Linked DNA regions of Drosophila melanogaster. The protein of the gene in region 3 interacts with the protein of the main gene of each other region in a pairwise test. Each region holds a gene or a part of one and is shown on either strand. Other genes may lie near its edges.

Region 1 (8,814 bases), about 11 Mb from region 3:
GTTATGCGAAATTGTTGCTAAGAAAACTGTGAAATTACTACAAGTTGTATGCACAAATGGATATGTTGATTTTATAGTACTGATATTAGTAAATTGTTAAAATCCTTTCGTTTCTATATCAAATGTTTTTTAGATCTCAAAGTATTTTTTTATTTTCTACAAGATTGATTCGATCACTCCTTTCAATAGCTTTCGCCAAAAACATTTATTTCACTGTTATGATCATCAAATTGGGTTTATTGAATACTAAACCATTAGCACTACTCCTTGGTTTCTTTCAATAACAATAAATAAATAAACTACACCACATAATCCCCATTGAGAGGTGTTTTCCTCGAGTCTCGAGATCATTTCGCCACTCATTCGGTGCTCCTCTATTCAAAACAACACTCGCAGGCACTCCACAAGATCCATTGAAAATCCGAGGAGTATCGCTCAATGGGAGCAACAATACAAACAAGACACCGAATGGGGGAAAAGTATCTGTATCCGAATAGGAATTGGAATTGGAATTGGTATCGCAAACAACCGCAGAACAACCAGAAATGAAACCGCTCAAGCTCGGCGGCATCAATAAAATGTCAATAAACAGAGAAGAAATTGTTTAATTACGCTTTCGAGAGGCTTTCGAGCACGAGGCACTGGCACTGGCACTAAATAGAATAAAGAGAATGTGTTGACCATTGTGTCCGAGTTTGTTGTTTCGTTTTGACCCAATAACTCGGGGGTTACTTTCGTTATTGGCCACAGCATTGTCATCTTGCCAAAATGAAAAGCGCGTAAACAAAGATCTGCAGGCGGATTGCTAATAACCGTCAACCCATGTCCACCTCACCATTTGTAATCCTTCGCCAGGCCATTCGTCTTCCTGGCCAAAAGGTCCGGTCTTTAAGACCCAAGCTGCCAAAACCCCATTTATCACCTGCGGCGAACTGACTTGGCTTATTTATTTTGCTGCCTATTTTTTTGTGAAAATGTTTTTTTTTTATTTTGGGTTTACGACCAGTCTGTGCTAATGAAGACCCGTTGCAGTGGCATATTTTTTTTTTCGGTTTCTGCAGTCATTGTAATTTAGAATCGTAAAAGAACAGCAAGAAAAGCTCGGCTCAGCAGCAGCGAAAAAAAAAAGAAGTAGATAAGTTTTCGTGTTTTACAAATTACTTTCGTACTCTTTTAATGATCGTCGGGCGCCAGACCGTCTGGTGACCTTTGGCCGGTCCGAATGCAGGTGGAGCGCCCAGATGCAGCGGCTCTTGCTGCCTTGCTGGCCAACTACTGGGCCTTCTGGCCATCTACTGGCTTCACTGGCTCTTCTGGCCAAGACTTAATGCACTTGGCTCGAAATGGGTTGAATGGGCCGGCCGAGGGCAGCAGCGGACCATAATAACAAACAACATCGAAACGGATAAATTGTTTGTTAGTCTTGGCTGGAGTGAAAAAAAAAAAAAAATAACTGCTGGAAGGAAATTTTCTCTCAAGTACTGGAGTTGAGAAGCCCTTGGCCGATTGCTTTCTAACAAACAGATTCCATTGATTTAGCACCATGAATAGATTGTGCATCGCATGGGAAACTCTTATTCAATTACAAAAAAAAAAATTGATTGCAAATTGAATTTCACATTTTTTATATGCAAATGCCAGTCCTGATAAATAAATTGGCACAAAGAAACGTACGATATTTAGAAGAACATTTAAATTGATGAGATTGTTAACCGCGAAAATCATTAACAATAACTTACTTGAAGTTAACTAACTTTGCATTAAGTCTGCACTTTTCTTGGAATCCCAAAATAGCCAGCAAATTCAATAGAATCGTTTATTAATAGACAAACTAGTTCCCATAGTACACCCATAATGACTCTTCCCGCAGTAATAATGATTAAGTGCCGGGCAATGAAATTTTATGAAGCAAATAATTCACTAAACTTAATGCCCACTCTCGAGCTTTGAGTTTTTTTTTTTTTTGTTTTCTCTTGGAATGAAGTTCGGTCCAGTGGAGCAGAGGCAACGAAGACTCCCACCTTTTATTAGATTAATTTGCCCACATTACTCAGTCGGTGAAGTGGCGACCCCCAACCGAACACAACCGACATCATCATGATCTTCGACGCCTGCCTAGCCATCTATCAGCAACAATTTGACCCAATGGCCGACTTCACAGCTCTTTACACACGAGAAGGAGAAAAACTATCTTGCAGAGCAGCGGCCCACGATTGAAGTGAGCCCACGCGATGAAAGAGTCGAAAATTGTGCCAAAAAAATGAATCTTTTGTTTAAGAAAGCGAAAAAGTGCTTAACAATGGTGCTCGGAACTGACCAGGTGACAAACATTTGCTTTGGCTGCTTTTTGTGGAGCAATTTGAATTGGCAACGCCCCAAATGATGATTTTTATGTGGGGGAGTGCAGTTTGATTTTTTGTCGTTAGTTCTTTTTTTTTTTTTTTTTGTTTTTGCCTTTTTTGGCCTTAGATGAGTTGACTTACCGCTAAGAGCCGCTTAACCGTAAAAGCGTTTCCATTGAGCATTGCGATCGCAGGTTGCTTTCTCGATGTTGCCGACTGCCTCGCAGTCGCCGTCATTGCCGCTTCTGAATCTCCAAAGAAGCTGCTTTGGATCTCCCTGGGAAGGCTTTTCTCGCTTTTCCCTCCTTTTGTGTGTTTTCTTTTGGTTTTTTCGATTTTTCAGCCGCTTTTCTTGGGTTATTTTCCTGTAGCTGGTATTCCTCTCGTTGCAGTCGTAAATATATGTTTTTCGCTGTGGAAAGGAGTCAGTGTGGTGGTGGTGAGGGGAGGCTTGACTTAAACTCTGAACTTTGAGGGTCAAAAACGGAACGAAAAGGTTTCTTCTCCTTTATTTCATTTCTTTCATTTTTTTTTTCTTTTCGGGTAAAGGAAATGCGCCCCACTAACAAGCAACACACAAAAATGAGGGAAATAATAATAATAATAATTTCTGTTTTATTATTTTGCAGTTGAACCGGCCGGCTTGCGGCTCACACGCCCCTCATTCGCATTCAATGGGCATTCGAGCGGTGCGCGCGGTGTCGCTCCACTTTAAAACGAAAGACTTAGGCAGCGAACTTGCGCGGCAGCCGAAGAAAACCCGAAAATGGGAAATTAACACCTGAACCACCTAGCTCTTGTTTGGGCCACTAGGCCCTAAAACTTATTTCGTTTATTTATCTCGACCGCCGTCTTTAGTTTTTTTTTTTGTTTTTTGGTTTTGTTTCTTGGCTTTGCTATTTTCACTTGCTGTGACGACCTTTGCCTGTCTCCCTCTCTCTCGTTCAGGTTTTTTATATATTTTTTTTTGGAATTTGGGTAACGTTTTTGTTGCCGTCGTTGTATCTGTTCGGTGCTGCTGCCGCTGACGCTGTTATAAAATTTCATTTTATTGCAATGCATGAGTCTGGGCCGAAGAGTTCGAGACTGGAAGACTGGGTCTGAGAATGTGGCGCTCTAGGGCATTACCGTTAGGCGGCTGAGAAGAACATCACAAAAAAAAAAAAAAACTGAGCTCTGTGCCGATATAAAACATCTACTAACTCCAGCAGTTTTATAACTTAATAAAAAAAATGGGAAAAAAGGAAGGGAAAACGGAGCTGACAATGAGGCAGGGCCTAAGAGTTCGATTTAAATTGGTCTAAGGTGAGATGGCCTGAGAACTAGTCGCTGCACAGAGAAAAACGTATGTGCTATCTTTGGAAGCTGAATATTTAATTGAAATTTGTATAGAATTTAGAAGAAAGAAAATGGGTGTCCCTTGATTTAATTTTAAATGCACAGATAAGGATAAAATGAGGCATTAGGCTACGTTAAGTCTTTTGAAACTTTTTTGGAAGAAAAAAGGGAAGTTCGACATATTTAACCAATAGTTATGACCATATACTTTTCTACTTCAGAATAAAGAATAATTGGTTAACCAAGCAAAAACCTGACGAGAATATTATTACTAATATTTGGCATTTGGTCAAAGGGGCCAGTTGGTGGGAGTGTCTGGACAACTGGCCGACTCAATTTGGTGACCCAGTCAGCCTTGGAGTAGCTGATACATATACAGAGATGCAGATGGACGATGCAAATGGAACTGGAGATGGCGGAGATCTTCCGCAATCGATCAGCATGTGCAAAGTGTTGGGCTGGCGACCGCAAAAGAGCGGGTCGCTGGCAAAGGGGATCAGCATTTTTAGTTTGCGGTTTTTGCGCTTGGTCTATCGGTCGCTGGGTCGTCATCAATGCGATGCGATGCGATGCGATGGCATAAGATGGGTTGGGATGCGGTGCACCGAGAGCCAAATGCAACAGCCTGGCTAAGAAGCTGGCCGAGAGACACTCAGACACTCAGACACAAGGCAGCAAAAGCAAAAAGCAGCGCGATTCTAGCACCGTTATGCACCCAATATGGCGACTCCACCGCCAGCACATGTGCCAGTGGAGCTGGAGATGGAGCTGGAGCTGAAGTTGGAGCCCAAGCCAAAGTTAAAGCCAGATCCGAGCTGATGCTGGACTGGCTTTGGGTGCATCTGCATCTGTTCGGTTCGGTTTGGTTTTGGTTCGGCTGGGTTCTGTGCGCTGTGTGTTCTGGTGCTGGTGCTGTTGCTGATGCCACTGCCACTGCATCTCCAACCGCATCTGCAGCAAACTGGACAGGAGAACTCTGCACTGTCTTCACTTGACTGCCTTCCCATGTATGTTTGTCTATCTGGACGCTCGCTGTTTGTTTGTTTGTTGGTTGGTCGGTTGGTTGGTTGGTTGGTTGCTTAGTTGGTTTGTTTGTTTGTTTTCCTGGCGAGTGTGTCTGTGCGCAAGAAACTGACTGAAATTACACTCAGTTGGCCCGATGGCCGCGCCTTAGTCCAATTCCAAAAAATATCCCTCGATCATTATTATTATTATTATCAGTATTATTATTTCCTTCCATATTTTTGTGCGCTCTCTTATTTCATATTCATAGAATCATTGTTTTAGCTACCGTTTTACTCGATTTTCGTTTGTCACACGCGTCGCGGCACTTTTGTTATATTTTTGCAGCTTGGAAAACGTTTTGGGCTCAGATCTTAAGTTTAGTGTGCAAAGTGCAGCCACATCACACGAAGATGAGCTGAGCTGGGCACGTCCGCACGTAACGATGGTCAGCAACGAACTGAAGAGGAGCCAGCCAGCCACGGACTTAAAGAACCAAGACAAGCAGCCGCGCGCTCGCAGTCGCGCAGCGGCAGCAACATCCGCAGCAGCAGCACCAGCAACAGCAACAGCAGCAGCAACAACAGCAGCAACAACAGCAACACGCGGCGAACTCTTGGCTGAAAAGCGAGCTTTTGGCCAAAGTCAAAGTCAAGGCAGCAAAGCTTTTGAAGACACGACAAGTGCCGAACTCTTGGATTCACATGGTTGCTGTTGCTGCTGTTGTGCTGCTGCTGCTGCTGCTGCTGTGTTGCTGCTGCTGCTGTGTTGCCGCTGTTGCGAGTGATGTTGCTGCTGCTGCTATGCAAATGTGACCGCTGCGCAGGCGCAACAGCAGCCAGTGCGCTGCTTTATTTGTTTCTTTAATTATGAGTGTCAGGTGCGAGCGAGTGCGAACGCACAGATTAATAGAGATAAACGGCGAAGCGTTTGTACACCTACACGCCGAAATCGCCACTTTTTGCTGCCCGGCAACTGCATTCATTTCGAAATTAACCGCTTTATCTTACAGTGCCACATCTATAGATCGAATGGGCCTAATAGGCCTATATATACATATACATTTAAATAGCCAATTTTGAGGGCTAATAAAAAATTAACATTATATAAACATGTTGCAGCATACTACTGAAAAATGCTTATTATATTTATGTTTAAATTGAAGAATCTTAAAAGCTTTTATCAAAAAAATTAGTACAATAAATCTTTAAGATTCTATAAGATTTCCTGTTCAATCTTAGTAAGGCACCAGTTTTAAAATGTTCGATATGATTGAATATTACGTTTGAGGAAAGTACACGGTAGAGAGGCTCAACTGTAGTTGATTTTCGTTTTCCCACTTCCGTCACTTGAAGTTGAACCCGTGTTGCAATCGCAATGAGGCAAGTGAAGCAACTGAAATCGACTTGCGAAACGTTAAGAATAATCTTCCGAGTGAAAAGTGGAGGTGGAGAATGGGGATGGGGATGGGGATGATCGTGGTCGGATCCAACGCACTCCATTTGGCTGGGAGTCCAAAAACTATACAAATGCGTCTTCCCTAATTGAATAATGCCACGGCTGCCCTCCCTTCAAGTCGTTCGAGCTCTTTAAAATTTAAAATTATAATTTAATGGTTTTAAATTGGTCGCTTGGGGTGTAATTTTCGCATTTGAGTTCATTTTAAACAAACTGTTTTTCGCTGTCAGATTTTCAGATTATCAAGAGGGTGGCACTGGAAGTTTTTGTTCGATTTGCCCGTACTAAATTCAAGTTTTGCTGCAAAAATTAGTTCTGTCGCATAAATAATAAAATTAATGATAAAAAGACAATTTTAAACTGATAAAATACTGATAATATAGAACTTTTTAACCCACCCACGCATTCACCAAGAACCGACTGAACTCAAGTCGGGTGTAGACATCGCATATTGTGCCAAGTGGTCACTTCAAAGCGCTTTTGATCGTTTTTGATTTCACATTCAATTTTATATCTGCCCGCTTTGTTTCGCTCATTCTCGGCGAAAACTACAAAAAGTTGCTTCGATTTTCGAGCATTTTCTGGAAGACAGCATCTTAATTTGAAGATTTATTTCAAGCACCGGAAGCGGAGCACCCTCCTCAGCGAAAAAAGAGTTGATTGTCCCGAATCGAAATCGCATATAATGGCCATATATGAACATATATGTATATAGTTAAGGAACATAGCCATAATTGACGCTGATTGTCCACGGTTACTTGCTTAATTCTGATTTCTCACTTTCGGCCGGGGGCAATGGAATCGAAGTCAATGGAATCAATCGATCAAGATCGAGGAAATGCGAGAGGATTGAACCCTTAAAATTTGCTTCTTAAAACTTATACAAAGAAATTGGGCTGCACTAAAGAAAGTTTTTAAGATTTCGGCATATCTTGGATGTAGGGATGAGAAATTTAAATAAATAGTTCATTAGATTTATATAGGTTAGTTAATATAACATATATATAAATCATATAAAACCATACATTATTATTAGCATTCATTAAGTAGAAATGTATTTTTTATTTCAAAAATATCAAACTTTTATTTAAAACCATTCAAATTAAAAGTATCGGTTCCAAGAAGAAACCGTAACGCTTTTAACTGATACCATTTGGTAATCCTCTTAGCAAACCCAAAAAACACTGCAAAATTGTTGTGTAAATTCAATAGAAACTATTGAAAATCGGAAAAGTTTCCGATGGGTGTGCATTTTGTGTTGAAAACCATGAAATTGTTATTAATGTCTCGACAAACAGCCGGCAGCCAGTGGCCATCATCATCGCATTAGGAACAATGAAAAGCAAAAGTAAATCGAAATCGTAGCAAAGTTGAAGACACTGCACTGGAGAAATGTTCATCATCATCAGTGGAAGTAGCAGCAGCAACAGCAGCCGCAGCAGCAGCAGCAGCAGCAGCAACTGCAGCAGCAATATCGGTGTTGGCATCATTATCATCGCCACGATCATCGACAAGTGGTGAACAATTGAAAAGTGCTTTTGCTTTGCTCTTGGGGGAACACGTGCCGGGTCTTTTTGGATTTTTATTTTTTTATACTCCTTTTTTTTTATTGGACTGCTATCGATCTTGAGTGCCGGTGTACCTGTCGCTGCCGCCACGCCCACCGCCCCCCCGGCCCATCGCATGTACACTGCCCTACAAACACACATGCACACACAGGTGCCCAAAATGCCCGCAATGTTCAGTTGCCGCCGGAGATCTTAAACTTTCATTTATACAATTGTCTTCAAACTGTGTGCAGCGCTTGCCGCTGCTCCAAAATGAAAGTCGGAACAAAATGGATTTGCTTTTCGGAATTTTTGTCCAACAGAAGGCATACACACAACCAAAAAAAAAAAATGTTTTTTTTTTTTTAAATACAAAATTGAAGAGAGGGGGAATAAAGCATTATTCTGCTGCTGTTTGTTTGTTCGTTTTGGGCCACTAGTTTATTGCAGTTTTGGGGCCATGTGCCAAAGGAAAGGTATGCATACCTTTCGTACCCACTTCTGGCCAATATCTCGTATAATCTAAATGTGCATTTCTTTTCTGCCTTTTTTCGGGATTTCGGCACGGGAATCGCTCTCCATCTCTTTTCGCCCGATCAACTTTCGCCGCAGAATTTGCAAGAAATAAAAAAAAATAAAAAAACGGAGAGTTATTGCCCTTGCATGGTTCTCTGCCCATCTTGGGACCCTATTCCTGCCCAGGGTCATTGAACGAAGGTTTTGGCAAACCAAAAAAAAAAAACACACACACAAAGTAAAAAATAAAGAAATAGCAGCCCAAACTGGTTATTATAATTTTTCGGCTTTCGCAGAATCGCACGCAGCTGCCCGGACAGCGTCCCCCATTAGGTTGGCCCCATTCCCTGGCCGATGGGTCCAGGAACTGGGCTTGGCCACATGACAGCCCCCGAATAGGCTCTACACTGACAGAAAATGGAACTAAAACCGCCTCCTCCTCCTTCTAGTCGCCAATCAGTGATGAAGCGTTGACCATTTGTACGTATCCTTTCTATTGAGCGACAAACTGCATAAGTTGTAGAACATCCCACTTTTTGTTTATATTATTGTACAAATACATACATAGATTATTGCATTAACTTACATACTAAAGCTTCAGTCCTTCCAAT
Region 2 (7,311 bases), on a different chromosome or scaffold from region 3:
TTGTGAAATTATTATTCATTTCACAAATAAGGGGACTTTCTCTTCGAAAGGGTGACACTAATAGAGCTACCTGTAAATTGAAAAGTTTAAACCCAAAGACCATGTCTACCTTTGGCGCTGAAGTGGATCAGGTTTGGCCAGCGGTCACCGGTGATTCCCCGCATCTCACTAATTTCGGACGCAAATTGCTGAAGGATTGCCGCCAAGTGCAGAAACCAATCGGAGGATACGAAAATTTGGGCAATGTGATTAAATTGTCCGCGGAGTTTCCGCTGGAGGTATTACACTTGGGTGACCCCCCAGCCAACGTCGACTTACCCTTCCACTTTCTTCTTCTTGTAGTTCGGCGTGAACAGTGTCAAAGTATACCGGCAATCTCCATCGCGGCTTGCCCGGATAAATGAGGAAGTGGCATCCGCCTATCCATTGATACACGAACGTACATTGGGCCTCTACTTGCAGTACTTGGAGCACAAGTGTCGTTGGGGTAAGCAATTCTCTTGCCTAAATAGCCTTCTCAACTGATCGACTTGCCGCATTTCACCACAGGCAACGCGGTGGAAAAGCCCATCTACCGGAATTTATCGCTATGCGGATTTGTGCAACGTCTGCTGGTAAAGCGTTGCGCCAGCTTCTTTGCGCGGAACGACAAGTACCTGCTGGTGAGCGGAGAGTCCGGGGCCAGTGGCTTCGAAGCCGTGGGTACTCGGGAGGAGAAGGCGCCTCTGGTGCTGGCCAACGTGCTCAGCTATGACGATATCAAGCTCTCCGCTCTGCTTTCCGTGAGCTCCCGCACGGAGTTTGTCAATGAGGGCGAACGAACCAATTGCGGTCACGTTGATCTGAACACGAAAACTTTGGAACGTCACGGGGTTATTGTGGGCATGATTGGAGCCCGTCTGTCGCGACGTAATCTAATGGAGTTCCAGGACATTGTAATCGCACGTCAGCAGAATACGCGTGAAAGGGGCTACGGAATGGCATTGGATGAGCCGGCTACCACGCGTGATGAGGACTATCGACGACTGTGGCGCGAGTTCTATGCCACACGGGATCTCATCCACGGCCAGGCAGTCATTGACAATCAGCGTTTCGGACCATCGAAAAACAAGATGGACGTGTTCGACAATCTGGTGATGAAGCGGCGTTACGCCATCAGCTTCGACATGCTGCTGCTGGAGGCAGAGGCAAGGGCAAAACGCGTGAAAAAGCTGGCGTACATCCATGTGGTGGGCTTCGGCTTGGGCGTGTGGAAGGCAGCAGAACAGCAGGAGCGCATCTTCATGGAGACCTTCGAGCAGCGTATGCGCACGCTGGGCAACAGGCTCAATAACGTTGGCCTCGTGCACTTCTCCTGGTTTTCGATCACACATTGCGGCGGTCTAAGCAACGGATCGCTGATAGAGATTCCCGGGCATCCAAAGGATGGCATCAGGGTGCTCATTTCCAAGCGCAATCCAGCACGAAAATTGAGTGATCCTGAGCACGCCGGAATGCTGCTGGTAGTCTCTTACGCTTGGGATGGAAACGCCCTGCCGGGTAATGAATTCTGGATGGTAAGTACATAGATTGACAGTGCCCTCCTAGCCACAAATGTTGATATTAAGTGGTGAAACAATATATTTATATTCTGTGGTTTGGCCAACTGTGTGTTCTAGTTTTCCACTAATGCCCTTTATATTAAATAATAAGAACATTATCAATTTAATGAGGGCATGCATTATCAGCTTAGTAAGTGTTTATAATTGTGTTAAGTGCAATTATAAAGATAATTCAATTTAGTGATCATTAAACCAATGGAAAGTAACTTGACATTAAAGTAGTTGTAGTTCTTCCTTTGATCTTAACATTTTCTTCTTTCTAATTTCACATATTATAAACTTCATTCGTTTTAGAAAATGCTGCAGTCCACAGGTGACTCCTCGACGGCCTGCTCCACGTTGGTGGCCGAGCTGCACAATCCGTACATAAACACGAAATTCTGCAATGGAGGCAACCTGCACATCGCCTCACCGGAGCACGGGGTGCTCCACATAGCCGAATATGCCAAGCGGGTGATTCGGAGCGAGAGTGACGCCTTATGAGATACGTGAATCTGCCTGTTATCTAATCTTATCTAATCGTAGCTACTGTTTTATTCCACACTTGCTGTAGGTCAATTCCATGACCTTTTGACAGACGCATGACAATTCCAAAAAAAAAGGGAAAAAAAAGGATTTTATATTGTAATCGATTTTATAAAACGACCATTTTAAACCAAAACCAACCAATTGATTGAATTGAACCAACCAATTGAAGCTTTAAAAAGCCATGAAAATGCCTCGAAAACGAGAGAAATATGTAATAGAATTAAGTATTTTGGTTAAACCATCTTTATGTTTGTAAGCAGTGTAAATACATGTGTATAAATGCAGAGCAGTTCCTTATGCCAAACTATATGTGATGTGATAATTATAGCGTGTAGCCCAATTTGGAGACCCAACCCAAACCCTCGACAGTGGTCGTCTTCGGCTTGTACTCGCAACCGATCCATCCATCATAGCCGAATTCCTGGAGAGCCTTGAACACAAATCCGTAGTCCAGCTCACCGGAAACATCCGGCTCGTGGCGATGCGGCACCTGGGCGATCTGAAAGTGTCCAATCAGCGCCTTGTACTCCTCGAGCGTCTTGGAAACGTTGCCGTGCAAATGCTGCAGGTGATACAGATCGGCCAGCAATTGAATGTTGTCCGCAGCCACATCGGCCAGAATTCCAGCGGCTTTGGAGTATGAATTCATGTAGTAGCCAGGCACGGCGTACTTGTTAATTGGCTCTATCACGCCGATCATTTTACTGGCTCTAAGGCTATCGGCGGCGATCTTTAGATTGGCGGTATACGTCTTCGTGTAGTCACTCTCCTGGCCGCCCTTGAAGAGTCCAGCGGTTAGATGAATCTTGCCACAGTTAACCTGTCGGGCGAAATCAATGGTGGCATCCAATTGGCTACGGAACAGCTTTTCCGAGCCGGGCACACTGGTGGAGCCGAAACGCAGCTGATCGTCGCTCTTGTCGAAGGCCAGATTCACCAGACTGACCACCACACCCGTCTCCTTTACGGCGGACACCACGTCGCTCGTCTCGCCTTCGGGATAGGGGATCTCTACCGCACGGAATCCGTTCTGGTGGGCCAGACGAATTCGCTCCGCGATCGACGTCGCTCTTTCCGTGAACAAAAAGTTCAGATTCGCTGCAAACTTGAGTGCCATCTTCCGTTCACTAATCTCCGCCTGCGTTCACGCTTGGCAAACAACTGGGGGGGAACGATGCGATTACCCGTTTTTTATATTATATCTACCGACTTTTGATACTGCCAATGTCATATGGAGCAGGAGCTTTTCCGACCAAAGCTTTGCGTGATATATGTACATACATACGTAGGTTTTAAGTTATTTAGCTGGCATCAGAACCATTATTTAGAATTAGTATATTATTTAATTTAGTTCGTCGTTAGTTAAATAAAATACTAGTTCTAACACTCGTAGCGTTAATATTTTTAATATTATTATTATTATTTAGTATTATTATTTAATATAAAACCTGTGTGAAAAGCATTGACTCCACCTAGCGGACATTAAGGGAACCATTAAATAAGACGCATGTTTTGGGTCAACATTTTAATTTTCAATTTCCAAACCATGAAATACAAAAGCAGTGGAGAAAATGTGAATTTGGTTTAAAGAGTTCAAAACTGTTAATTTTGAAAAGCAGGCAGCCTTCGTCTTCACATCCTTACTCCTTCGAGGCTACCGTGTGCTTTGACTAGTTCTTTTGAGAGTTTTGAGTTGACAATGAGCTTGGCCAGGAATTAAAAACCGACGACGTCACGATATCAGTGGTCTCTTTGGAGCACCATGTGAATGTCCTGGCTATCCTCGTACTGGCTATCCTCGTCTTCGCTATCCTTGCCGTGGCTATCCTCGTACTGGCAACCCTGGTCACGGCTATCCTTGTACTGGCTATCCATGCCGTGGCTATCCTCGTACTGGCTACCCTGGTCACGGCAATCCTTGTACTGGCTATCCTTGCCGTGGCTATCCTCGTACTGGCTATCCTGGTCACGGCTATCCTTGTACTGGCTATCCATGCCGGGGCTATCCTCGTACTGGCTATCCTGGTCACGGCTATCCTCGTACTGGCTATCCATGCCGTGGCTATCCTCGTACTGGCTACCCTGGTCACGGCAATCCTTGTACTGGCTATCCTTGCCGTGGCTATCCTCGTACTGGCTATCCTGGTCACGGCAATCCTTGTACTGGCTATCCATGCCGGGGCTATCCTCGTACTGGCTACCCTGGTCACGGCTATCCTCGTCCTTTTTATCCGTGTGCTGGCTATCCTCGTCCTGGTTAGCTTTGCCCGTGCAAAGGCTACTGTTAATCGTCGCCTGGCAAGTCGCAACTTTACCTCGTATAGCTGTCGTCTTCACCTTCACCAAGCGAAAACGATCTTTGGTTGTCAATTTTGAGGATCCGATACCGATGTTCTGATGGTCACGAGCTACCAGTGCATCGTAGCCAGCGCATTTATCCTTAGTGTGATTGACATTGAAAAAGTGTCGGAACCACACGGCAAATTTAAAATTTTCTACCCTGTGGCCCTTGATCAAATCATTGACCTCAGCTGGTAGGCTTACATTTACCTTATTGAAGGCTTTTTGAAGTTCCTTGAAATTGTTAACGTACTCGTATTCTTGATTCGAAAAAAACTTAACTCGCTTCAAATTGATCAGTTTGGGATAAAGCATATGCATCAAATTACAATAGGCTGCACCGGTGCACAACTGTTCGATATTGATTAGGTTGCATTGGAGCGTCTCGTTGAACCAATCGAGAATATCGCCACGGGACCACTGAACCAACGAATTATGCGTGACGGTCACATTGTGGGCCCTCGAAGTAGCCATCGCAAGCGAATTCTCTATGTGTCTACAAGCTACTTAAAAATACATTAGCGATGTCTTACTTGGTCATTCAACAATCACTTACCCAAAGAAAGTTGTACAGGAGCACGTATGGTTTGCCTTGTTCGATTAGTTTTTTCGCAAGAAAGTTGCTTTTGGAAAATTTTGGAAAAATGTAAAATATCATGCAGCGCGCGTAAGCCAAAGTGAATACAAAGTTGACCTTTTCGTTTTACCAAAATATTTTGAAAATGTATATTGGAAATGTGTAGTTCTGTTGCTTTGTTTTTACGAAATTGTATGTACAAATTGTTTAACAATCGGGGTATATATTATTTGTGTGTTATGTTCACATATCAAATGCTCACATTGGACTAAGGTTTTGTCCAGTCTAAAGTTATGACACAAATGAAAATTCATTTCATGGCCTACATGATTTGAAAATTTTTCGGCACTTTTTCATGGCCTGCCCATCAGATTTTACTGTCTAGCCATGTTTGTTCGTAACCGTCGTATTGTCCTTTTGTCCTTCCGTCTAAACGGTCAAGATATTACGAAATGGTTACATTTATATATACACATTTATATACTAATTAGCATTTATATATATATTCAAGTGAAGCGTCTAGGTCTTTGACTAAATTTCACATTCATTGAGATTCACCAAAGTCCTACACATTTTATACATCCGTTTAAGTTGCTCTACGTTTCTCTACATAATTTCTACATTCTTCTACGTTCTTTCAGTACTTTCGACGTCCTTCAACATCGTTCTATACGCGCCTTCTATGTTTTTCTATGTTCATTTACCATTTATTAACTACATTAAAATAAATCAAGAATATTAACTAAAACTAGTAGTAAACCCGTCGAATTATTGGCTATTATTGGCTACAATTTAAGAAAGAAACTAACATTCAAAACTAACTGGCAATCTAATAACAATTCGATATGCACATATGTACATATTTGCCAAAAAGCTGAACAAGGATTAGGGAAATTGAATTGGTTTGTCTAACCAAACGGATTCGGATGACCCCATGTGGGCAATTTAAATACTGGACTTTTTGGAGTATATATACAATACAATACATATGTACATGCAATCCAAAACAGACATGTCACTGCCATCGTGTGGCACTGTTTTGTGCGAAATAATAATAGTGCAAATAAATTGCACAAATATCCTATTGTTTTAGCTTGACAACCCATTTTCGTTTCTATCTCTATCTATATTTATATTTCTATTTCTATTTCTATTTTTGTTCCCGGAAATGCGGCACTCGTCGTCCCAAATGCATTTCCCATACGGCTGCGTTCCATCGACAAAGGCAATTAAATTTGTAAAATTTTCGCAACGAGTGGAAAGTGCAATGTGCAATGTGCAATGTGCGATGTGCGATGTGCAACCTGTGTGACCTCATTGATTAGCCAGATGCTGTTGTTTCTGCATTTGGTCTTTATATTTAAAATTGATTGCATTCAGCATAGAAATTGGCACTACAAGCACTACAAGGCTGGCACATTTGCAGATAGATGACTTAAGTTAATGGAATGCTAACAATTAAAAAGGAAAATGTGTTTCACAAAAATGCCATAAATCAAGTGTATGCTATGCATTTTAATCACCAAGTTGCATAAATTAGTAAGTTAAGTGATTATGTTGTTCAAACAATAAAATGTTAGTTAAAAACATAAGATACATATTTAAAGAGGTGTTCAAAAGTATGCTTCACAAATTCCCAGCATATCTTTGGGCACTTCTTATTCGCAGTTTTTTGAATAACCTGTTGTTGATTTCTTCGTTTTCATTTCGTATTTGCACATATCATACAAATTACAAATTAAATTGGGTCAAAGTCATTTGAAATTCGTGAGCGGACAATCCGAATTAATTAAAGAATCTCTGCCTGTATTGTCGGCGACCTGAACAAAAGCATTGACTTTTGTTTGTCTTTCGTCTTGCACAATAAATAACGAAATTCCTTTTGAAATTTCCAGCTGGCAAAAGCGAAGAGAGCGGCGCCGCAACTTTGCCCTCTCGTCAATTCATTGCAATGCCCAACGTTACCGTTGGCCATTTTCTCTTTTTTTGGGAAATTGTCGGAAAAGCGTGAGAAAATTATGGGAAATTTGTGGGAAAATCTCCGGCTGGCCGGCGGTCTATAAAAGCGCGATTCCAACGCCGAGCGCGTTACAAAGGCAGGCGGACTGCCGACGCGAGTGGCAGGATAGAGCGGCTAAAAAAAAAAAAAAACAAAAAGGACAAGCGGCTACCAAAAAGGACGAAACAACGTAAAGTGTTTACTTCGAAGTTAAATTTTACATTTACTCCGGAAACGAACGACCGCGATCCTGTACGAATTTTTTT
Region 3 (8,417 bases):
GCATGATTACTGAATACAGCGGTGCTCATAGTGCTATTGCTCTCTCAAGAACTTCTTCCTCTTTCGCTAAATAAAATCCAGAGTTTCCCCACTTTTTTGGGGTCTTCCCCAAAATTTTCCCAGACCGCTTTCCTCAAAGCAGCCGGGCAGACAGGCATGTGGTTGGAGGCACATATGTTTGGCGGCTTTTTCGCTTTGACATAATCAAAACCAAACCGAACCGAACCGAACCCAAAGCAAACCGAGCGCACAAATGACGCGACTATCCCCAAAAAAAAATACTCGAAAGCGGCAAAGTGCGGCGGTGGCGGCGTCCACTCAAAGCTAATGACCGACAAAGCGTTTTGTATTATTTTCAATTTCATTTTCACTATACACAAACTATACCCCTGGCCCCCAATAGGCCCCTATAGCCGCCATAGCCAACAGGGCCCGCATTTTTCACCCTTTCCCCCCTTGGTGACAACACTTTTCGCTTCGGCCTCGCCACGCTTCGCCTTGCCATGCATTAAATATTATTAAGATAAGGCGCGGGGGTTCGCTTATCAATCAGACGTCAGAGGTACCGACCCTCGTATATATGTATTATTCGCAAAGAAGAAGAGCCAACACGGTTCTTCCATCAGAGTTATGAGTTATTGGAACAAACCGTCAACAGAGAGTTTCAGAGTTTCCGTAAATATTTGCTTAGAACGTGTTTTCCTTTACGCCTTTTGAAAGTGCTAGCTGGTTTTTTGTTTGCAAAGCAATTTGTATTAATAAATATAAAAGTTTGGACTGTTCTTTGATTTTGTTACTCATATATCGAAACATATTTACAACTTTAATGGGTTTTACGTTTTCTACACTAATTTGTATCTTTATCTCGTTGTAACGTTTCTGTTAAAGTTATGACCCCCTAATGAAAGCTTGAGCTCTGTTTTTTTAGGCCAAAGTTATGGCCTGGTGGACGAAGGGCGACCTAAGTGCGGTATAATTCCAAGAAGTGGCCCGAGAGCCAATTGCTAAATCAACACAAACAAAAGCCGATGACCAAAACAAAAACCTCAAAAGTCATTACATATATCTTGAGTGGCCCCAACCCCCGGGAAGCCGAGGCCTGCAGAAATGCAGAAGCTACGAGCTAACAGCTTTTTATCTTTTGGCACAAGGCGGCACAGCATTGTTTTGGTTCGGTTCGGTTCGGTTCGGTTCGGTTGGGTTTGACTTGGCTTGGCAGCCACCTTCGAAAAACCAGTCCATTGCGGTGGACCAAAACCCAAAACAAGGCGAAATACCCATCGGATCTGGACGATCCGACCCGACCGATCCAAACGCAACCGAACCGGCCATATAGGGTCGCTGGCATATCGAAAGGCAGAGCGGCAACTTCCTGGCTAATATTACGAAAATTGCTTATACCAGGCTATTGCTCCCTGGCCATCCCCATACCCATACCCATACCCATAACCATGCCCCAACCCATAGCCATAGCCAGTTCCATTCCCCTCCGATTCTCGAGTTCTGCGGATCAGCCAAAAAGTGCCAAGTCAAAGTTGGTAGTGGCAGCTAGAGCTGGTGCCCGCTTCCCGGACCTCGGGGCTGCGATTTGAGCCCGGTGCGGTTCGAGCCACGTTGCTTTCAGCCTGTCATGAAGGCAATGCCGACGCGATTCGCCTGTTGCCTTCTACCGTAATTCACAACAACCACAGCCATAATAATAACAGCAACAGCACGGTATCGAAGAAAAGCCAAGGCGAGCGTTGTAAAACCCGCAGAAGAAACAGTGGTCACAAGTGCATTACCAAATATACAATTAAGTATGGTAAGCACAAATAAATGTTATATGCATGATCAAAAGACATAAATATAAGTATACTTAAATGAAAACCTTTTTAGTTACAATAAGTATAATAATTAAGGATGCCACATATGATCTACAAAATATGCGGATCCCACCTGTAAGTATGGCTTAAATGCATCTATACAACGTGTCTATTAAATCCTATTTAATCTGCTTAAAATCTTTCGAACATCAATAGCCTCTCAGGTTTGGGTTTCATATCATCCCCGCCCGTCAGTGCCCACGATAATCCCCATTCAAACACACGATTTTTAACCACTGTGCACGACGGCCTCTGGTGCCGCGCCTCAAAGCAAAAAGCGCATCTTTTGAACAGAGCGCAAAGCGCAGCTTGGCAGTCGCAGCATCGGCGCGGTGTGTATCTCAAAGATACAAGCAGAGTACGCTCGCTGGATCGCTGGATCGCCGTTCCTCGGCCCGTCCGTCTGTGCGTCCGTTTGTCTGAAAGTCGGTCCGTCCATCTGTCCGTCTGTCGATCGTCGGTTGGTCTCTAAACCGCTTTTGTGTAGCCGCTGCTGAGATGTTTGGCATAGTTGGCCTGGCCGCGGAACTGGTTGGATGTGGATGTGGATGTGGATGTATCTTCGAGATGGAGTTGGGGAGTTTCTCAGTTTTGGTCGGAGTTGGGGCTGCAGATGGATGGAGTGGCTCAGTTATTATTATTTTTGCTTGCGGCGGCGGCTCGACGACTTGCTGCCGCTGATGTCCGATGTTATTGTTGTTGTTTTATCAACGTGAGGGTTTTAAAAGGTTTTTGTGTATGAGTCGGCATCGGTATCTTGGCCTCGCAGCAGCTGCTGCTTTCTACACAGGAAATAATTATTTGGCCTTTTATAATTTTAACATTCAACAACAAATATATCGTGGCAAATCTAATTATTCATGTGATATTTTACTATCTGCGTAATCACTTTTAACATTTTGGATTTATGTTAATATAATATTTTACTAAATTTCACTATTCTTTTATAATTTTGCCCATTATTAATGTAATGTCTTAGGATTAAAGTGTCACAAAACAATGGAATTTTTTCCCAGTGCATCCATAAGCAACGGGCCAACTCCACCTCCATCGCGGCATCGACTTGCCTTCGGTTTTACCTGCAACAGGTAAGAAATGTTCGTACGTTGTTTTTAAACGGCGTCGGCATTTCAATTCGCTTGATTTTCATTTTTTGTACGACTCTCTTCCCGTTTGTTGTTGTGTAGTGTTTTCGAGGCTGCTTTCTTTGAAGTTGCATGCTTCGGTGTGCCTTTGGAGGTTTCCTTTGAATTCCCCCTGCATCTGCCAGCAATTAGTGTACGGGGCTTGTCGTCCTGCAAAGGGTTCAAAGTGTTGGCCTGGCATTTAATTGGCGCAGACCAATTGCCAGCCGATGCCGATGAGGAGGAAATCTCTCTCTGGGGCTTCAAAGCGAAACAAAACAAACCAATGAAAAAAAAGACTCCAGAAAAGTAAAGAGGTGGATGGGGGCCCCAGAATATTTCCAATGAATTTGTGGACAGAAAAAAGGAACCCAGGGAACATTGATTGATTGATGTTACTTCAGCGATTCGGACATCAACGTTGCTCGTTTGGCAGAAAGGTCGTCCGATTCGGTCGTCCATTTCCAATTCGGATCGGATCCCACTTTGGAAACACGGACCTTGTTTATTTACGTCCATGATATGCTACCCATGACTAAGGAGCCGATCTCTAAGCAGCAGCAGGAGCCAAAGCGAAACGTTCTATTGATCGCGATCGCGATCCCTATCCCTATCCCGATCCCTTCGCCTCTTCGATCTGCTTCCAAAAAAAATTCTATTTATTTTCCATGGGTCGCTTTCCTTTTGATCTGCCCTGCCGTTGTGTTTTTCTTCTTCAGCACCATGCCCGATTTTCCGTTCTATTTTTGTGTGTCGCTGCTCCGGCATTCTCCTACCCATTTTCATTTCCATTTCCAAAGACCACAAGCGAACGAACGGCTGTGTATCTTCCAGATAAAAATGCAGCCGGGCGATTGCCTACATTTTATTTTCAACTTTTAGTTGTTCGCCGTAATTATTGGAAAAGGATGTGGGAGAAGCCCTTGACTCAATGAATTCGAATACACACATACACACAAATACATACATATCTGTGTGCGGGTGAGTGAACAATTGTTTGGGAGAAGGTAATATTTTAGATCTTCGGCCCAGATAGTCGTATGTTAATGGGAATGGCCTTCGATAAGAGGCCACGGAAAAATGAATAAGGAAAACATTCTGCATGGGTTAGTGGTTTTAGTGTCAGGTAGGTGGATATAGGAATGGATCATTATTTCAATAGTAAATGCAATTATAAATCAATAATTATATATTCCTAAGCGACTTTCTTCATATTTATAAGATATCTTCCTGCGAATCCCTGACTCACTCAATATTTCAATTTAATTTACTTGACTGTGGCCAACAAATTGTTTCCCTGAATGCTATCGCCCAGCTGTCTCTCCCCACGAGAGCATTAACATCCATCTTTTCCATATCTGCTGCCAACTATCTGGAAATTCACTAAACAAGTTGAGAACGCTTGGCTTTCGCTTACCTGAGAATTGTTTGTAGCCGCCGAGAATTTTATGCTTCCACCATTTGACAATGTTACCCGCCATCGCTGCCCGGATATATGTACCTATATAGTTCTATATATAAGCGGGTTGAGGATGCAGTTACTTGGCGGTGTCTTGGATTTTTCGGTGTTTCTATTTTCCGTTTTTCGGGCGGCGGTGGTGGTGGTTGGGCTGGAAATTTACGAGTCCTGAGAGGAGGAGACCTGCAGTATAGCAGCAGCCCAAAATGTTTTACGGCCCTTGTGTGTGCGTTCTGCGCTCCCTGGCTGGCTATCCTTTTGTGTAAGGATCTAAGGACTGAGACTAATATACTCCAGGTAGGAGGCGAGAGAATCCTCCGCTTCCACTTCCACAGCCACTTCCCGTTCCACCGTGTTTATGCGCTGCCGCTGGGCGACCTTAATTTGTATCTGGTATTATTTTCGACTGTGCGGGTGGCAAGTTACCAGTCGTAGTCGCTGTCGTAAAAGTTTTTACAGCTCTGATGTGCTGCATTTTAGTTTAATTTGCGCATATTGCGCTGCTTTATTTGATCTACGTGTGTGTATCTTGCAGATACTCGTACTCGCGCTCGCACTCGTGTATATTGGTACCTTTGTGCCCGCTGCGCGCGTAATTTTAATTGTAAAACATTTTCGCCGACTCGATTTGTTTTTCGCCAGCCGTTTTGTTGTTATTTATTCAATTTTTTCTTTTTGCTTTGCGACGACGTAAATAACTTGGCGTATAAACAACAAAAAACAACAAATGCAAAAACACGATTTATTTCCAAACGATTGCGACGAGGGCGACGGCGACGTCAATTTTTCGGGGGGTGGCGTACCGGTTGTTTTTGTTATTGTTGTGGGGGCGGTTTTTCGTTTTTCGTTTTTCCTTTTTGCTTTTCACACTTGATTTTTCTCTCCGGCTAGAAAATTAAAACTTCACTGGGCGTATCTCGCGGATACATTTATTCATTTGATCAATTTCCAATTTCAACGATAACTTCACTGGGCCACAACAATCCGTTCGGTCAGTAGTTGTTTTGGTGGGCCAAACTACGCGTATCTTCTAGATCCTTTCCGCTGTATCTCCGAGTCTCAGTTCACACGTCTTTTCGAATCAACGGACGAAAACAATCTGAATGCGAGTCGTTCGAGAATCGAAACATTGCCCGTTGTTCGAAACTCATCTTCGAGCGCCGCTCTTTCTCTTTCGAACACGTTCTCTCAATTTCGAACTCGAAATTTGTAAAGGCGTGTTATCTCTTTTTCTATTCGAAAAGGGTATGATGGAACTCTGGTTCATGACAAGCAACATATATGAAATGATATAAACAAATATTTTTCTTTCTTCTTTATCTTCTAAAAAACGATTCAAATTTTACCAGTAAAAAATTAATAAAATTTATTTATTTTTATTTACATTTTTTTTTAACCACTGCAAATACCATATGTTTTGTTTCAAATTTATACATTCACATTTATGGAGTATTTTCCTTTTAATAGCTACTAAGCTAAACTATACTAAAAATTCGAGTGATATATTTTCAGTGATTTTTCCATTTATAACAGAACGTTCTTAAATATTGCATACAAAGAAGCAATTATTAGAGCAACATATTTGATTGCAGCGAATGCCACGCCTCAAATTTAGAGCTTTCTTTTGGCTTACACCTTTCAAGCTGAATTTTGACTGGTAGTTACTGCCTCCACCATCGGTTTTTGATTATACACGTGTTTGGATAATACCCGGTTTTAATTTGCCTCTATGCATAGCCGCAGCAGAAAAAAATTTGATTGTTTTTAAATTTGATCTCAACCGCTGCCCCTGCCCCAATTTTCGCCACGCAGAAGAAGCCGCCTGCTGAGCTTGAACATCAGGGCAATTACCAACCAACCAACCACCAACCAAAAAGTAACCCCAAACCCAAGCTCAAACCCGCCGATAATAACAGAGCAAGGAGAATCCTGAATTACGCCGCAGAGGCAAAAAAAAAAATATGAAGAAACACAAAGCTCTTTCTTTCTCCGGCGATCGAAAGCAAGTGGAAGGAACCCGCGGTGATCGGCTTGCCTTTAACCCACTGAGGCCCAATGTGGCAACCTGAAAAATATTAGTGTATTTATGGAGGTAAAATATAATATTTTTGCATACTTCACATTTACTTAAATACGTTAAATAATATAGTAATAACTAATATCGTGTTAAATTTCTAGAGAGCTAGTAACTGAAACATCAACTGTGTACCTAGTCGATTATAAGATATTATGAAATTTCAAGAAGAGATTAAACTAACAAAACCTCCTTATATCTTGATGTTCCATTAGGCATTATATGTTCCTAATTATATTTGAACGTTTAGGAGGACCAATATTCTTATGTAGAACTTCTAAATATGTACCGCTCTCAAGGGGTTAACTTTGCCCTCGGGGTCCGCAGGCTTTCGCACCGTAAAACGTTTTCGGCTTTCGGTATAATGGCGCTGTAATTGAAGAAGAACACGCGATCGAACGGAGGGTGAGGGGATCGAGAAGGGGCTCCGCAAAGGCGGCGGAGGGAACCTCCTTCTAACAGAATGGTTTCGGTCTGGGTCTTGTCTCTCTCTTTGTCGGACCCTCCTTTGTGGTGCCTTCGTCATACATTGATCCATCGTCTTAATTTCAGGAGGAGACGCGCCGCGCGTCTCCTGCGCTCCCTACATTTCGGATGCGGGCCCCTGATTGATGTCGGGAATCTGTCCGCCCTGTAGCCGATGATATTGATTTATGTTTACTCCGGTTTCGCATCCGAACCCCAACCCCAGCACTTTGTTCTGCCGAATTTCGCACAACATTTTGCCGCTTTGTATTTGACAAAAGTCGGCGGACAGGACAGACGGGCTGCAAATGTAATTACCCAAAAACGAGTGGAACATGTCTGGCGGCCCAGCAATCCGGTGGGCGCGGTTCCTGTTCATATGTGACTGACCCACCCGACCGACCATATAAAGGGTTCCCTGACATTTGTCCCTACGATGACGATGACGATGACGATGACGGAGTGACGGCCATGGCAACTGTCGCTGTAATTGACAAGGAGGCAGTATTCGATTCGCTCTGCGTCACTCCCCAGTGCCCCCGCCTTTTTGCCCAGTTTTCCCCCGCTTTCCACAGGCAAATCCCTATCTTCACACACATGGGCAATGCTGATGAGTTTTTGAAGGGTTAGGCGAGTTTAATCGGGTCCTATGTGGCGTGTGTGTTTGCATTAGGGAGTTGATTAGGTTACGGGGGTCATTTTGGCTACAGGAGATAAACATAATTGCCTTGTCTCGAACGTATTTCCGCAAAATATGATGCAGTTCCAGGGCACACATTAATGGGGCAATTTGATGAAGTATATTTATTTAATTCAATTGTAATTTAAATATTTTCGAAGCGAAAAGGATCAATCTTTTAAATAAATCGAATAAATAAATCGAACCAATAATCATTAAAGATTAACAATTTAAGCACCTATTAATTATCCCCACTGCTTTTGTTTAACTTCTAGGAACAAAGCAAATATCTCATTGCTAAGAATGGTTTTCAGCAATTGATGATTATTTTTTTTTTCACATGCCAACAACAAGACGCTCTAAATTTTCCAAATATTTTCAGTAAATAATGGGCAGCACATAAATTAGATAAGCAGATATATTTTTCAACTTGCGTCACAATCGAAGCTGCGCTGGATCTCATTAAAAAATATATATTTTCACGATCGGCTCGACGAAAAGAATCCAAATTTATTTTTTTAGTTTTTTGGAAGTCGTAAACGAATGAAATTGAAATAAATATCATATGCATGGGGTCGTGTACATTGTGAAACTATTCAATAAATTAACTTTGTTGTAAGTGCTGGCCATAAATATTTATATTTTATAGTATTTGTACGCTTGTCGTAAAATTCAAATGAAGTTGTCCCCCAATGATGGTCGACGAGTGGGCCGCGTTTATAAACATATTTCCAAAGCAATTATGAATTGT
Region 4 (7,689 bases), on a different chromosome or scaffold from region 3:
AAGAGTTAACCTTATTCGTTAGCAGTCCAGCCTCGTCGTATGCTCCGGCATAGCTGGTCTTAAATATCCCCTTTACCATCTCGATCTCTTCCAGGTTTTCGCTGATGTGACTCTGGATATGCAGGTCAAATCGCTTTGCTATATCGCCCAGACTCTTTAGCAGCTCCTTGCTGCAGCTAAGGGCAAAGCGGGGCGTAATCGTTGGCATCACCATCGGGCTGCCGAGCTTCCGCACGCCCTCCACGAAAGCCAGGGTTGCACTGACCGACTCTTCCGCAGTCTCCCTGTGCAGAGCAACAACATTGAGTTGACCAGACCAAATCCGTCACGCTCTGTACTTACACGTAAAACTCGGGGCTGTTGCAGTTGGAGCAGACCTTGCCTATCAGTGCCCGCTGGCCTTGACGCACCGCCTCCCGCGCCAAGGTCAGCGTTGACTCCAGATGGTTGGTGGCGAAATAGGACGCCAGAGTGGTTCCGCACCGCAGTGTTGCTTCCTGGGGTGTAATATTATCATTATCAGCTAATAAAAATAGACGGCCGGTGCGACCCATCGATAAGACGTTTGTGTGCTCCCAAGTACTACTTACGACCACACCCTGGTAGACCTGCTGGGCGTATTGGTGGTTGGAAAACTTCGCCTCCAGCGGGAAAGTGTATGTGTTCAACCAGTCCAGAAGAGGCATGTCTAGTCCCAGTCCCAGTTGCGCAAACTGCGGGGCGTGTATGTGGCAGTCGACGAAGCCCGGCATGAGGAACTGGTAGTCCGACAGGTGAACCTCGGTCAGACCCTTGGCGTGGGCCGGATTGCTGCTTGCCCACGCATGGTAGTCTTGTCCCACTCCTATTATCTGTGAGCGAAATTGTTCATTGCTCATTGTTTTGTTCTGGGCATTAAATTGCCTACCTTGCCAGCGTCGTCCACTGCCAGGAATCCTCCTTCAAAGGACTCAAACTCGCTGAACGACTTGGTGTGCACGACAGTTCCAAGAAACACGGTTGCCATTGCTCTGATTTACTATCAGCGGGCTTAAACGTGCTGTACGACAGACTTGAGAATGTAATGATCAAGATCCGCTGAACAAGTTTTAAAACTCTCGCCTAGGTGCACGCGTCGCCCTGCGAATGTGCGCATAATCATACGGGGATGACACTTACTTTTTATTTCAAGGTTTAAATCGCTGGAAAGATTATTCCCAATCGTTTGGTCGTTACTTTAAATATTATTACTTATTACTGTTTTAATAAGCGATCGCTTGCACACGTGTGATTTATCGGTAAAAACTACAAAACAAGCAATAATTAACTTCAAAATAGCTGTTGCAAAACCATTAATTGTAAAATTGTATATTGGAATGAATATTGAAAAAACATAGAATACATTAATCATATGTTTAGCTAAGACAAAACCCCCTTTCTGGAAGTAAAGAAGAGTAAGAGTGACGGGTAAAAGAAATATAGCCATTATATAATTTACAGTTAGTCTAAGATTTCATTAGAATAAACATATTTGCACTGCTCGCACCTGTACATATGTAACCTTTACCTACCCTGTAGTCCCACAATTCATCGCTATTAAAAAATATTACATCATCTCTCTCTTAAAATTTTAAAGCGATGCTAATGTTCTTAATCATAACGAGGAATAAGCGATGATTTTGAAAACAAATTCATCGCTTTTTAATTTCTAACCGAAGGTCTCAGTATGCGATTTTTTATTTAATTGCAAATTTAAATTTAAATTTTAAATTTGTAATGTACATAGAACATGTTTGCAGATCACTTGCCTATAGACTTTTGTGAGAAGTAGACGCGATTTTGAGTGCTTGTTTTAAAAAAAAATTGTAAATATTTTGGAATTTAATTCAATAATAATTACAGGTAATGGATTTATTTTACAATAAGCAACAAACACTACTCACAGAAACGATAATTTAAGGTAAATTGGTTTAACTCGTTTTTGTATACATAATTATACATTATTTTACCTTAAGGTAAATCGGACATGTGAACTGAAAAGAAGCTGGTCCTAACTCCGTAGGACAGGACGCCAAAGACTCTGGAATTTCACATACATATATATGTATTTGTATTCTTAAATTTAAATCCTATGCATAATTTAAATAAGTCTAATTAAGAAAATACATTTTTATTAATAAATGACTGAAATTTCACTTTTTCATTAAAATTGATAGAGGATTAAGTGAATAAAAAGAGGTGTAGAGAGATGAATTGAGCTATCATTTATAGCGCTTATGCGTGATTTTGATTTTGCGCTATGCGATGATTTCCTAGAACATAGGTTCAGGTCATGGTTTTTTTTTTTAATACAAATTAACCTGTGATTAATTTGATCGAGATTTTTAATGATCAGTAATGAGCTGATGAAATCTGAATGAATGGAATGCAGGGAGGTAGTCATAATCCCAATGTTAAGTTCCCCTATAAATACTGAAGAATGAACTTACATATGTACATGTGCATTGGTGTACTTTTTTTAATCCCAAATATCGTCCAAATCAAAGAAAAGCATTTATTAAAGGTAAAAACGAGTGACGAACGCACATCAACATACATATGTACAAAAGTTTTGATATAAGCTTTTGTGACGAAAATTTGTTCTTTTTTTCTTTTTTTTTTTAGAGTTTAAATCATTTATTATTATCTTCTCCTCTCTAATTGTTTGGTGTTTTTTCTTAACAATTCGAATCGAAAACAATTTCGTCCATACGGATAAATTCTATTAATATTAAGTCATTTTTATGGAACTGACCACTTTAAAAAGTTTGTATTTAATTTTATAAAAATGATTTATTGAATTGGAACCATTGTAGACCACAGGGTTTTCCTACTTTTTAACAGCTCCCATCCGACTGGCGTCCTGACTTGGATACGGTACTTGACCCGGTGGCGGAGGAATCGATATGGAATCCAAATTGACACCCGAGGAAGAAAGGGCTGTGGAAGTGGCGTTTCCGTAGGGAGCTGCATAAGTAGGCTGACCATACATTTGGTAAGCCGACGCCGGAACTAGATTTGATGGCAACTGATGCAGCTTCATGCCGGCGGGCATGACATTGATTTGCTCTTGGCGAAGATTGAAGTAGTCGTTGGGCTTCGCGCTAGGCGGTGGAATGCCGGCCAAGTCGAAGCGTCTGTCTGTCTTTGCAGCGGTGCCCTGCTTTGCCTGAGAGTGAGCCCACTTAATGCTCACCTTCCGGCCCTGGATCACCAGTTTATTAAAGGTCCGCTCAGCAGCCAGCTCGGCAGCGTTTCTTTTGGTGTATTGCACAAAAGCGCACTGCTGGCGTGGCACCAGCGCAATTGATCGAATTTCGCCGAACTGGTAGAACTGATCTCGCAGCTCGGGTTCCGTGATTTCTTCAGGAAGGTTCCCCACATAGAGAGTTGTGATGTTGCGGTCCTCCGGCGGCTCGAGTGTGGGAAGCGAGGCTGCACGCTTCATGATCTTCTCGGCCACAGGATCGTTGCGTCCGTAGTACCTGTCCTTGATGTTTTGCTCACATAGCGGATCGTCCGGCTCGTTGGGCTTGTCGTGGCGGTATGGGCACTCCTCTCCACGCTTGCACTCGCCCTTAACCCAAAAGGAGCAGATGTGCGGCCGATTTCTTTTGTAATAGGGTGCTGTGCGCGCAAGCTTGGACAACATCTCGTTGGCGGCGAGGGATCGACCGACAGCTCCTGCCGCCTCCGTGCCATCTCCGTCCTGCAGCTGGGCGTCTATGTTTTGGATGTAGTATTCCTTGTTAACGTCGCTTTGTGGCATATTGTCAGCCACTTTGAGCGCCGCATCTCGTACTTGAATCGGCAGTCCGTACTCCAGGTCCAAGAGGCAGGTCTGACACACGTTCTTCAGGCGCGCACACGTTTGACATATCTCCGTCTTTTTGAAGCGCATACGAGCACCAGGACACCATCGAAATATTGTGAATGGACGCGTGCATATCTTGCATTCCTTGCCGAACCGCTCTTTAATCATCCGCACGTACGGATTGTCGCCAAGGCAAGTTTGGCACAGAATTGGGAATTCAGCATCTTCCCAGTTCTGCCGGTTATAGGTGTTAGTCGTTTTTGACATAGACATAGCAGCGGCACTTATGTACCTTGCACTTAAAATCCGAGCTAAATTTAGACAATGCTCATTCGCTTTCTACTTGTCGAAAATGGTGGTGTGTCGCGAGTGATATACCAATATCGATAAGTTGAGCCAGAAGCAGACAGTTAGTTCAAAGTCAGCAATCGATATAATTTATTGAATTTAATAGCATATTCACACTGCTTAGAATATATATCTATACCCAAATGCACACAAAAATATATTGCATTCGACTGATCCGAAACCGATCAATACGATATTCTACTATTCTGTACTATTCATGTTCGCTAACCGTTTAACAGAAATGTTCCTGAAACACTTTTGATAGCACGCATAAGTTCATATAAAATGTTTCTGGGCGATTTACACAGAGTTTTTGGCACTTTTAATTCCGATGTTCGCAGTTACGTATTCACTGCGCTCTGACCACTTATGTTATTCAATTAATTATCATTATTTACGAACAGCACTTTTGGCCCTGCTTTAAATATATTTACTAAGTATTTTTACCTGCCTGTTATATTTCACCAACAGTATGGCAACCTTCGCGCTAAAAGTTGCATTTTTCACGTTGCTTGGTTTTCACAAAAAAAGAAAGACTCAATCTCAAACTCAGAAAACCAGAGCACCTAAAAACGAAATCGAAAGATTTTGCCCAAATTGAAAAAAAAACTATTATCCGGTCTGCATGCCATGAATATATCATAAGCAAGAAGCTGTCAGTGGAATCACTGTTTAATAACTGTAATCGATACCCATTAGAATATAGTATTTTTCGGGCTCGCCTAATTTAAAACGTCGTACGGTGGCCTTTGTTGTAGTCAAATTAGGCGAAAACGAAACAAACAAAAATCAGAAATATAGATCGAATGCTATGGCGCACGTAAAGCGGTATCGGAGGTCGTCTAAGTCCTCGGAGGAAGGCGACCTGGACAACGAGGACTACGTGCCATACGTACCGGTGAAGGAGCGGAAGAAGCAGCACATGATAAAGCTGGGCAGGATCGTGCAACTGGTTTCGGAAACGGCCCAGCCCAAGTCGTCAAGCGAGAATGAGAATGAAGACGACTCGCAGGGTGCGCACGATGTCGAGACCTGGGGACGCAAGTACAACATTAGTCTGCTGGACCAGCACACAGAACTGAAGAAAATTGCCGAGGCCAAAAAGTTGAGTGCCGTCGAAAAGCAGCTGCGAGAGGAGGAAAAGATTATGGAGAGCATTGCTCAGCAGAAGGCCCTTATGGGTGTGGCAGAGTTGGCGAAGGGGATTCAGTACGAGCAGCCTATTAAAACAGCTTGGAAACCGCCGCGTTACATTCGGGAAATGTCGGAGGAAGAGCGCGAGGCCGTTCGCCACGAGTTGAGGATCCTAGTGGAGGGAGAAACCCCCAGCCCGCCAATTCGCAGCTTCCGGGAAATGAAGTTCCCTAAAGGTATACTTAACGGCTTAGCGGCCAAAGGCATTAAGAACCCGACCCCAATCCAAGTGCAAGGCCTGCCCACTGTACTAGCCGGCCGCGACCTAATTGGAATAGCCTTCACTGGGTCTGGAAAAACGCTTGTCTTCGTGCTGCCAGTCATCATGTTTGCCCTGGAACAGGAGTATAGTCTGCCTTTTGAGCGTAACGAGGGCCCCTACGGCCTGATCATTTGCCCGTCCCGCGAACTGGCCAAGCAAACACACGAGATAATTCAACACTACAGCAAGCACCTCCAGGCATGCGGAATGCCTGAGATTCGTTCCTGCCTGGCCATGGGTGGTTTGCCGGTCAGCGAGGCCCTTGACGTCATCTCACGCGGCGTACATATTGTGGTGGCGACCCCTGGTCGTCTAATGGATATGCTGGACAAGAAGATCCTTACGCTGGACATGTGCCGGTACTTGTGCATGGACGAGGCTGACCGCATGATTGACATGGGATTTGAAGAGGACGTTCGTACGATATTCTCTTTCTTCAAAGGCCAGCGACAGACACTTTTATTCTCTGCCACCATGCCAAAAAAGATCCAGAACTTTGCTCGATCAGCTCTCGTGAAGCCTGTCACAATAAATGTGGGTCGCGCAGGTGCTGCGTCAATGAACGTCACCCAACAGGTTGAGTACGTTAAGCAAGAGGCAAAGGTGGTATATTTGCTGGACTGCCTACAGAAGACCGCGCCGCCCGTGCTCATTTTTGCTGAGAAGAAGCAGGATGTAGACTGCATACATGAGTATCTGCTGTTGAAAGGCGTGGAGGCGGTGGCTATTCACGGCGGAAAGGATCAGGAAGAACGATCGCGGGCAGTCGATGCTTACCGCGTGGGCAAAAAAGATGTGCTGGTGGCCACCGACGTGGCATCGAAGGGCCTGGACTTCCCTAACGTGCAACACGTTATTAACTACGACATGCCGGACGATATTGAAAACTATGTGCATCGTATTGGCCGCACAGGTCGTTCCAACACTAAGGGATTGGCTACGACGCTGATAAACAAGACTACCGAGCAGTCGGTTCTGCTCGACCTGAAGCACCTGCTAATCGAGGGCAAGCAAGAGGTCCCGGACTTCTTGGACGAACTGGCACCTGAGACCGAACACCAGCACCTGGACCTGGGTGACTCGCATGGCTGCACCTACTGTGGTGGTCTGGGCCATCGCATCACGGAGTGCCCAAAACTTGAGGCTGTTCAGAACAAGCAAGCTTCAAACATAGGACGTCGCGACTACCTATCTAACACCGCTGCGGATTACTAAACCACTACCACCACCAAATTAAAATAGTAATAAATAGATTAGTATACATACATACTTTTCTGGGAACTTTTAAATTTATTTTCACTCTGTTTTAAGTTCAGTTTGCTGCTTATCGCACGAAGCTTTGCTTATCAATCGTCCCAGCAACCCCAGAGAGCGATCTCGGCCGGACGCGCGCGCGTTTCGGGCTTAAGAAAAATATTATAAAAGCGAAGACGAGCTTTGGCTTTCGTTTAGTGTCTGAGGCAGAGCTCTGCATGCTTGTCGTTCGAAGCGCTTTTATTCAATCATCGCACTGGGATCGTGAGAAATTGCGCAGATCGTATTGACTTACAAGTAAGTGTGCCCCAAAAATTAAATGATGTTTTATCAGCAATATGTAATAACATCGCCCAGAATAGTAGGTTACTCTAGTATAAAGTAAAATTCAGACTAGCCTAAATGATTTCAATTGAAGGCTGATTATATAGACATTAACAACTTTCAAAGCTATTATTTTGCTGAGTTCATTTCGTTAAATTGGTCGTTGATTTGTCTTATCTACTGCTTTGAAAACAATCATCGGAACTGAGGTCGGTTTTATATTAGATAAGCCACTAGCTTTTTACCAAGCTGTGTGTTCTTGAAAAAATAAATTCATAACACTGTATAATATGATCAAATTAAATTGATGGTACCTACAAAATTTGGTTAATTTATCTCCGTTAAATTATCCCCAACTTCATTGGCATTTGGATTGGATTTGAATAATTGGATACACATTTGAATGTTTAAATGTTACCCATGCGCGCGGTTTGTCCAAGAATCCGTTTGTATGATTTTGGCACTGGAAAATGGG

What was found.
Region 1: the proteins of nkd (region 3) and ImpE1 interact in a two-hybrid assay, tested with the Drosophila melanogaster proteins (one large-scale study listed by BioGRID).
Region 2: the proteins of nkd (region 3) and Gip interact in a two-hybrid assay, tested with the Drosophila melanogaster proteins (one large-scale study listed by BioGRID).
Region 4: the proteins of nkd (region 3) and CG14641 interact in a two-hybrid assay, tested with the Drosophila melanogaster proteins (one large-scale study listed by BioGRID).

The regions. Positions count from the first base shown.
Region 1 is NT_037436.4:8,368,741-8,377,554, reverse strand, and holds the start of ImpE1 (Ecdysone-inducible gene E1), read right to left. Parts: upstream 5,151-8,814; 5' UTR 4,972-5,150; intron 2,811-4,971; exon of another isoform or gene 2,755-2,810; 5' UTR 2,580-2,754; coding exon 2,484-2,579; intron 1-2,483.
Region 2 is NC_004354.4:10,326,517-10,333,827, forward strand, and holds Gip (GIP-like), read right to left. Parts: upstream 3,357-7,311; 5' UTR 3,247-3,356; coding exon 2,452-3,246; 3' UTR 2,361-2,451; downstream 1-2,360. Other genes in the region: CG2909 (uncharacterized protein), read left to right, coding at 102-278, 343-487, 550-1,556, 1,896-2,084; CG15306 (uncharacterized protein), read right to left, coding at 3,870-4,943. UniProt on the Drosophila melanogaster protein: Catalyzes the reversible isomerization between hydroxypyruvate and 2-hydroxy-3-oxopropanoate (also termed tartronate semialdehyde).
Region 3 is NT_037436.4:19,039,898-19,048,314, forward strand, and holds the start of nkd (naked cuticle), read right to left. Parts: upstream 5,553-8,417; 5' UTR 4,471-5,552; coding exon 4,407-4,470; intron 1-4,406. UniProt on the Drosophila melanogaster protein: Cell autonomous antagonist of the canonical Wnt signaling pathway. May activate a second Wnt signaling pathway that controls planar cell polarity. Required for neuroblast specification.
Region 4 is NT_033777.3:4,228,138-4,235,826, forward strand, and holds CG14641 (uncharacterized protein), read right to left. Parts: upstream 4,206-7,689; 5' UTR 4,106-4,205; coding exon 2,849-4,105; 3' UTR 2,642-2,848; downstream 1-2,641. Other genes in the region: DhpD (dihydropterin deaminase), read right to left, coding at 11-284, 343-497, 591-851, 908-1,006; abs (abstrakt), read left to right, coding at 4,992-6,851.